Oryzias latipes: one gene and its partner. The main gene of each other region encodes a partner of the protein of the gene in region 2 in a complex. Links are inferred from orthologs where the notes say so. Each region holds a gene or a part of one and is shown on either strand. Other genes may lie near its edges.

Evidence for each region. The genes of interacting proteins can lie anywhere in the genome.
Region 1: zinc finger CCCH domain-containing protein 13 (region 2) and mettl3 share a complex: the UniProt entries of both Homo sapiens proteins name them as parts of the WMM complex. The link is inferred for Oryzias latipes from reciprocal best matches to the Homo sapiens genes ZC3H13 and METTL3.

The regions. Positions count from the first base shown.
Region 1 is NC_019876.2:17,633,533-17,637,186, reverse strand, and holds part of mettl3 (N6-adenosine-methyltransferase catalytic subunit), read left to right. Parts: intron 1-432; coding exon 433-623; intron 624-705; coding exon 706-1,161; intron 1,162-2,998; coding exon 2,999-3,174; intron 3,175-3,589; coding exon 3,590-3,654. UniProt on the Homo sapiens protein: The METTL3-METTL14 heterodimer forms a N6-methyltransferase complex that methylates adenosine residues at the N(6) position of some RNAs and regulates various processes such as the circadian clock, differentiation of embryonic and hematopoietic stem cells, cortical neurogenesis, response to DNA damage, differentiation of T-cells and primary miRNA processing.
Region 2 is NC_019860.2:22,017,790-22,021,598, reverse strand, and holds part of zinc finger CCCH domain-containing protein 13, read left to right. Parts: intron 1-413; coding exon 414-610; intron 611-864; coding exon 865-2,103; intron 2,104-2,550; coding exon 2,551-3,159; intron 3,160-3,300; coding exon 3,301-3,441; intron 3,442-3,523; coding exon 3,524-3,724; intron 3,725-3,805; coding exon 3,806-3,809. UniProt on the Homo sapiens protein: Associated component of the WMM complex, a complex that mediates N6-methyladenosine (m6A) methylation of RNAs, a modification that plays a role in the efficiency of mRNA splicing and RNA processing.

The sequences.
Region 1 (3,654 bases), on a different chromosome or scaffold from region 2:
CTGATCCATCCACTGGCAAACAAGTAGATACAGTAACGTCTTCATTTTCCTCGTCTGAGCTGACATCCAGCTCAAAACTGTACGGCTGGATACCTCTGATATTGCTCGCTATTTTTGTTTCACCCCTAATACAAGCTGGGAGTGTTGAGGGGCTTTAAGCTAGCAGAAGAGCGTGTAAATAGAGGGTGATGGGATATCAGCAGAGGGTCACAATTCAGAGGCGAAGCCTGATGAACTCTTGCCGTTTTAAAGAAAAAATGTCTTTAGAAAAACAACACAGGCTTTTGGCCAAAACAGCATAATCATAATTAAAAGACGACTGGAAATGGTTTAACAATAGATATAAATATAGTCGGAGTCCGACTGTTAAATGTGTTTATGCGTTTTCTTTTCTTTTCTAATGCAATGTGTTGGTCCTTCTTGGTCTCTCAGACAGTGGGACCGTCCCAGATGGCTCTGCAGTCAGGAGTGACAGCCCGGCTCCACCAGCTCCATCCAGCTCTCAGGAGGAGACAGAAAAACCACCGGATCCTGAGCTGGAGAAAAGGCTGCTGGGATATCTGTCTGACCTGAGTCTTTCGTTGCCTATAGACTCCCTTGCCATCAGTAATGAACTCAACAATGTAAGGTGGTTTTCTGGGATCATTGAAGAACCTGTTGGATGCGGCGTTCTACACTATGATTTCTTTGTTTATCTGTCTGAAGCCTGAAGCTGCCGCCAGTCATGGATGCATCCAGAGCCTCCTGCTAAAGTTCTCAGCTCAGGAGCTCATTGAAGTCCGACAGCCCACGTCCGTCTCTGCCTCCTCCGCGGTTCCCTCCTCCACCGTCGTGGTGGCAGTGGATCACACCAAGCTGTGGGCCATGATTGGATCCGTGGCGGGATCCCAGAGGACGGCGGTCAAGAGGAAAGCAGAAGACGTGGCCTTCAGTAGCAGAGCCGGCAGCTTCTCGCCTTCCCTTCAGAGCTCTGCTTCTCCTCCACGCTCATCCATCTCCTCCCTGACGCCCGCCTCCTGCTCCCAGCTGACTGGCTCCTCTGCGTCGGGGGGCGGAGCCGAGAAGAAGGGCAGGAGCAACAAAAGCCAGTCTTCTCACGTGGACATGGAGATCGAGAGCCTGTTAAACCAGCAGTCCACCAAGGAGCAGCAAAGCAAGAAGGTGATCCAATGTTTTTCTCTGCCGGAAATGAATCCTCACTCCTGATGTTTTCACAGATAGAAAGACGGAGGAAAGCAAGTAATCAATGTTAAGAGTCTAAAGTGGGATTTCAATGTATTTTTACACATCAAGGGAACGTTCGTGTACAACACGGATAATCAAAACAGAGAAAATAAAACGGTGTCTGGTGTGTGTAAGATTAAAGTTAAACAGAAGAAAATATAAAATCCAAAAGTCAACGATTAATTTGCCAAGAGGAAATAAGTATCACCATTTTTAGCTTAGTAAACATTTCTTTTCTTCAAAATCTACACCCATAATTATGCATTGCTCAGTGATATTGACTGATACATTAGAAACGAATGTAAACCTCATACCTGGAGATCAACCAAGTCTTTTCTACTAAATGCTGTTGAGTTTGTCCAATTATCAAAACCATTAACAATGTTGAGCAGCAAAACCGTAAGGAAAATTGGACCTGTGTTTGGTAAATGTAAAGAAGATGAAATATTACAGGGGTCGGGAACCTATGGCTCGCGAGCCATATATGGCTCTTTTGATGGTCACATGTGGCTCGCAGACGAGAAAAATATTAGGTCTTTTCTGGCCAAAAAGTGGAAAAACGTTTGAAAACTGCGTGGACTCAAACCACGAGTATGTTTGATATTTAATAAAATAAACTTCACGTCCTAAAAGTTAAGAAAATTTTTAATTTATACTCTTGTAAAATATCCTTTTGAGACATTTTTGTGAATGAGATAATATTAGAAAATATTTATTTTATTTGTTATGATTGAAGCTTCCAGCTTTAAAGCTAAATGTTGCTTCATTATTTTTTACATTTTTGGGGTCTGTTTGGGGTCAAATCAGGGTCAGTTTAAAGGGAAGTGAAATTCCAAACTGGAAATTAGTAAAAAAAAAAAAAAAAAAAAGCAGTTTTAAACTCAAAATTACACATTCCTCTCCTTTCCTCTCTTTTCTTTTTCTACTGTTGGAAGAGGCTTGGTGTGAAATGTCAAAGCCGTGCAAATCAGTTGAATCTTTGGCAACTCTATTCTCATAGATGAAAAACTTGCTGTCATTGAATTCACAAACTACAATTCTTCATTTCTCCTCCATGATTCATGTTCAAATGGTTGCCACTTTTGTGAATTAAAAGGAACACCATCCATACGTCACTACTAAGTACGAGTCTCTGACTGAAGTTCAACCTGGTTTAACTTTCAACACGCATTCAAAATTTGTTTAGATCCGCTGGAAAGTGAGAGCTTTGAATGCAAAAGCCTCGTTTAAACAGAGCTTTCAATGAAAGTGCTCTTGTTGCCAGGGGCGATGTGAACAAAGCTCCACTCCCACATAAAAATGGTCTCAACACCAAGAAATGTTGAAAATACAAAACAGCAGCTGTGACAAAAAAACATAATTTTTCATTTGGTAACAGTTTTAGATTTGTTCTTTTTTAACCCCTCCAGACTCGAATTTATTTGCAACTGAAAAAAATAAATTCCACTTGAGTTTTTGCTTTCAAGTAGATGATAAATTCAGTTAATTTTGCAGCAGAAGTGGTTCGATGCACATTTACATCAATAGACATAAAGGGGGTTTTAACTTAAGTTTCAAACTTAATTGTTTTTCTGATTTTCAATATTTCTTTTACCGCAAGTTTGAATTATTTTTGTTTCAAATTTTCTTTTTCAAAGTTTGCTTTTTTTTATTTTCTTTTTAATGTAATTTACAATCTAGTGTTTTATTTACTTTCAGCTGATCGTCATTTGACCCCAGGTTGGAGGTCAATGCTCTTTCATCATCATCATCATGTTTCTGAACATGTGTGCAGGTGAGCAGAGAAATCCTTGAGCTGCTGAACGCCAGCACCGCCAAAGAGCAGTCCATCGTGGAGAAGTTCCGCTCGCGAGGACGCGCTCAGGTCCAAGAGTTCTGCAACCACGGGACCAAAGAGGAGTGCGTCCGCTCCGGGGACGCTCCTCAGCCGTGCACCAAGCTGCACTTCCGGTGAGATTTCTGCCTCAAAGCCCAACATTTGACCCCTCGACTTCTTAAAGCTCACTCTGGTTTGATGTTGCTGAATTAGAAGAAACCACTGTTTTATATTTATATTAGAAAAAAAAAACTACCTATTTCAACCTGAAGATGGCGCCATTTATCTAACAAAAAGCAGCTCATCTAACTATATAGCCATTGCTTTTTGACACACATCTCATTAAATTCTATGGATGAACTTTTTTTTTTTCTATTGCTTTTTTGTAATTTGCTTTAATTCTAGGATAAAATTCAGATTTTACATTTTTACTCTTCTCGCTCATCTTTTTATTCTTACATTTGTTCCGATCAGTTCAGGTTTTGTCCGTGAAGCGAAACGCTTTAAATTCATGAGCTTAAAGGTTTTTCTGCTGTTTCTGCTCCTCAGTCGCATCATCAACAAGCACACAGACGAGAGCCTGGGCGACTGCTCCTTCCTCAACACCTGCTTCC
Region 2 (3,809 bases):
ACAAATATGAGAAAAGGTTACAAAATAAAGTTGTGATAAATAAATAGTCGTACAATTATAAGAAAAAAAGGCTAAATTTTATCAGAATAATAATGAACTATAAATTATGGAAAATGACATTTAAAAAAAAAAAGACTGATGACATCACACGGCTCAAATATCTCACTAAATCTGCTTAACCTTTTTCCGTGACAAAGCAAGACTTTATAAAGTACTTTTTTCCCCCAATATTTCATGACAATATTCTTTATTCTCATAATTTTATATTTTATTTCCTTATATTCCATTGTAGAGATGCAACACACTTCAGTTTTAGACTTCTTAAATCAGAAATGTGTTCATCCAAAAGTAAAAAAAAAACGATATATGTGTATGTTTAATGTTTAAAAAAAATGATTTCTATTCCTTTTTAGTCGCAAGAGAGCGCGGGTGGAGAGCAGCCCAAGCCCCCGACCCTCCCCGAAGCGGGCGGCGAGAGACTTGAGCCCGGCCGACAGCGACGGCTATAATAGTGCCGAAGATAAAAGTGAGCGCCCTATTGGCCGAGGGCCGGCCAAGCTCCACCCACAGCCCCTCCTCCCCAGCCCCGTGTGTCTGCCTCCATCTGACAGTAGGAAAAAATCTCTTTAAAACAGACGCACTCCTGTTTTTGGAGGAAATGCGCCTCTGCAGCACTTTCTCAACCGGCATGCTTTGACTTCTGGTTTGGCTAAAATGTTTTTCATTTTCTGGCTGTCGGTGCAAATTTTACTGTCAGACAAAAAAATGTGGAACTTTTACCAAAGCAAACGTAGTTTTTCTTGGAAAATCTTTGCTAATGTTGGAGAAAAAAACGCTTTGAAATATCGACTGTTTCCTGTCCAGGTGGAGACAAGCACCGTCTGCACAGCCAAGTGGTGAGACCTCAGGATCGCCTGTCGCGGTCGCCACCGAGAGGCGCCGCTTCGGACGACAAAGCCCCCCACTGGAAAGACGAGGAGCGCCGAGGAGCTGCGGAGAAAAGGGAAGCACGGGGCCGAATCGAGGAGCCGGAGCCTCGCAGCGCGGAGCGATGCCGAGGAGCAGAGAGGCGCGGGGAGTACCTCCCTGAAGCCGAGACCCGCGGTAGAGGGAGAGACCAGCGCGAATCGAGTCCTCCGCCGCCGCCACCGCCGCCTCTTGCAGCCATCGCCACTCGCGGTGAAGACAGAGACACTGCTGGCTCTCAGGCCAACGAGGAGGGCAAGAAGAAGGTGAAGTCGCAGAGGAAGGGCATGAAGAAAGCTCGGAAAGAGGATGGAGCCGCCTGTGGAAACCGTCTCGCTGCTCCGGCGGAGCGGTTCAACCCTGAGCCTCCGCCCCCCGCCTCTGCAGACGTGCCTCCGCTCATGCCCTCACCAAGGAAAGGAGCCAAGAAGAAGGCGCTCGACCGGAAGAGGAAGCGGTCGCGAGGAGAAGACTCTGAAGCCTCTGAGGAGGACGCGTCGGCGCCTCCGCCTCACAGTAAGAAGAAGAGAGGACCTCGGACTCCACCCCCCTCCATGAGGCCGGACCACCGGGGAACCGGAGGCAACGCAGAACCGTCGCCGCTCTCCAAAGTGGACAACTTCAGTGACTGGTCGGACGAGGAGGTGACGGACCGGAGCGTCCCTATGGAGAAACAAGCCCCTCCCAGTTCTGGAGACAGAGCTCCGATGGAGACTCTGAGGAGAGGCGGAGCCCCCAGGATGGGCAGAGACAGGTGTAACCCACCTGCCATCGCCCCGCTGCTTTCCCAGGACCCCCCCATGCTGATGCAGACTATGGCCCCGCAGCCTCTCATGTTGCAGCCCGTGCTCCGCAAACTGCCCCCGGAGCAACCGCGCAGCAGCAGCATGGGGAGCAACCAGAGCCGGACGTCCTCCCGGCGCCCCCGCTCACCGTCCAACGAGTCGGGACACAGGGACGACCACCAGGGTCTGCGGCCGCGCCGGGGACGGCTGCATGGCGCCAACTCCCGAGATCGGGAGAGGGAGCGAGAGCGCGAGAGGGAGCGGCCGGCGCTCGGGGACGCTCCGGGAGCTGAGAGGAAGTCCAGAATCGACCAGCTGAGGAGAGGAGAGCCCAGCCGCAGCACGTCGTCAGGTACGTCTTCATTCTCAAACCGGATTTCCGCTGCTCCGTGCAGTGCACGCGTCTGCCTTGCGTTTCATGAGGAGTCTGTCAGTTAGTCTACATGAGCTCTATTGCGTCTCCAAGATCTTATAAAGTTCTATTTTGAATCCCACACCTGTTTCCTGTTCCTCTGGCTTTTTGATGGGAAATACTCCTGTAAAAGACGGACGTCAGACACGACGGAGGCGATGTACGCATTCCCATTGATTATTGGACGTTCTATTTTCTTGCCTCAACGCAAAGGAGACAAACTGCAGGCTTTATTCCGGGTAATCCAGATCCTGGAGATCCACCACCCACCTGCTGGCTTTTGGTTTCCTGGGTCGGGTGACTCCAGGATCTCCACCACCAGGGGTGGGAAAAGTAGTGGCCTAAACCTCGAATATTTGTAATCCAGCAGAGTCGTTTGTTTCACAGACCGTCAAGACTCCCGCAGCCACAGCTCCAGACGCAGCTCTCCCGACTCTGAGAGGCAGGCGAGGTCCAGGTCTCGAGCCGGCTCCTACGACAGCCGGGAGCGGGACCGGGAGCCGTTTGACAGGGACCGAGAACGCGACCGAAAGGAGCTGCGGCCCCAGCAGCAGCCGCAGCAGCCGCCGCTCCTCCAACAGCCCCTCCAGCAACAGAGAGACTGGGAGCCAGAGCCCAGAGACTGGCAGGGCCGTGGGCGGGAGACCCTCGGAATGCGCCCGGGTCGGGAACCTTTGATGAGGGACCGCGACGCCAGAGACCGCGAGCGCCTTCTCCCCGAGGGGATCATGCAGCAGCACGAACGAGAGAGGGAGCGGGACAGGGACGGCAGGGCCGAGAGGGGAGCTGATCGGGAGAGGGAGAGGATGATGATGATGGACCTGCCGCCACTCGGAGACCCCAGGGCTCCGGGTCGAGGAGACGCCAGGCAGGAGAGGGTTGACTATGAGCCACTGCTGCCAAGGGAAGCCTTCAGTCCTGCAGAGGAGAAACCCAGCAACAGTCACCAAGCTGTGGGAGATCAGAGGGAGCTGGAGAAGAACGACAGCGTGGACGGTAAGGGCATTGACGCAGAGCCATCCTCTGGGACCTGTCTATAACCTGGAGGGAGTAAAATCCTACTAAAATTCAGAAAGTATTCTTCTTACCCTCACCTCCTCCTCTCCTTAAGGGATTTTGTGTGCGCTGTGTTTTCAGGCGACGATGACGCTAAAGAAGAGGAGCAGTCTGTGGCGTCCGTTAGAGAAGATTATGAACCAATCAGTGACGACGAGCTGGATGTGATACTGGCCGACAGTCAGAAGAAAGAAGATCAACCAGAGGAGGAGAAAGTCACTGGTACCGATAACAAAGCATTTCTTTTATCGTAAGTTTGTTTACAGCAAGAAAGCTTCACGCCGCACCTCCTTCGTCGCCGTAGGTCCTCTGGACGTGATCGACGTGGACTGGTCCAGCCTGATGCCCAAACAGAAGCAGGAGCCGCGGGCCGCAGGAGCCGCCCTGCTCCGCTTCACGCCGGGCGCCGTGCTCCTGAGAGCGGGAATCTCCAAGCGCCTCGCCGGACCAGAGCTGCTCGAACAAGTCAAGGAGGTGTGCAAGTCGGAGCTGGACGATCCCAAAGGTGAGCTCTCCAGACGAGCCCGCTGCGTTCGCTCCCTCCCCTCTGCGGTTCCTCCTCACGGCGCAGAATCTGTCCCGACAGACCT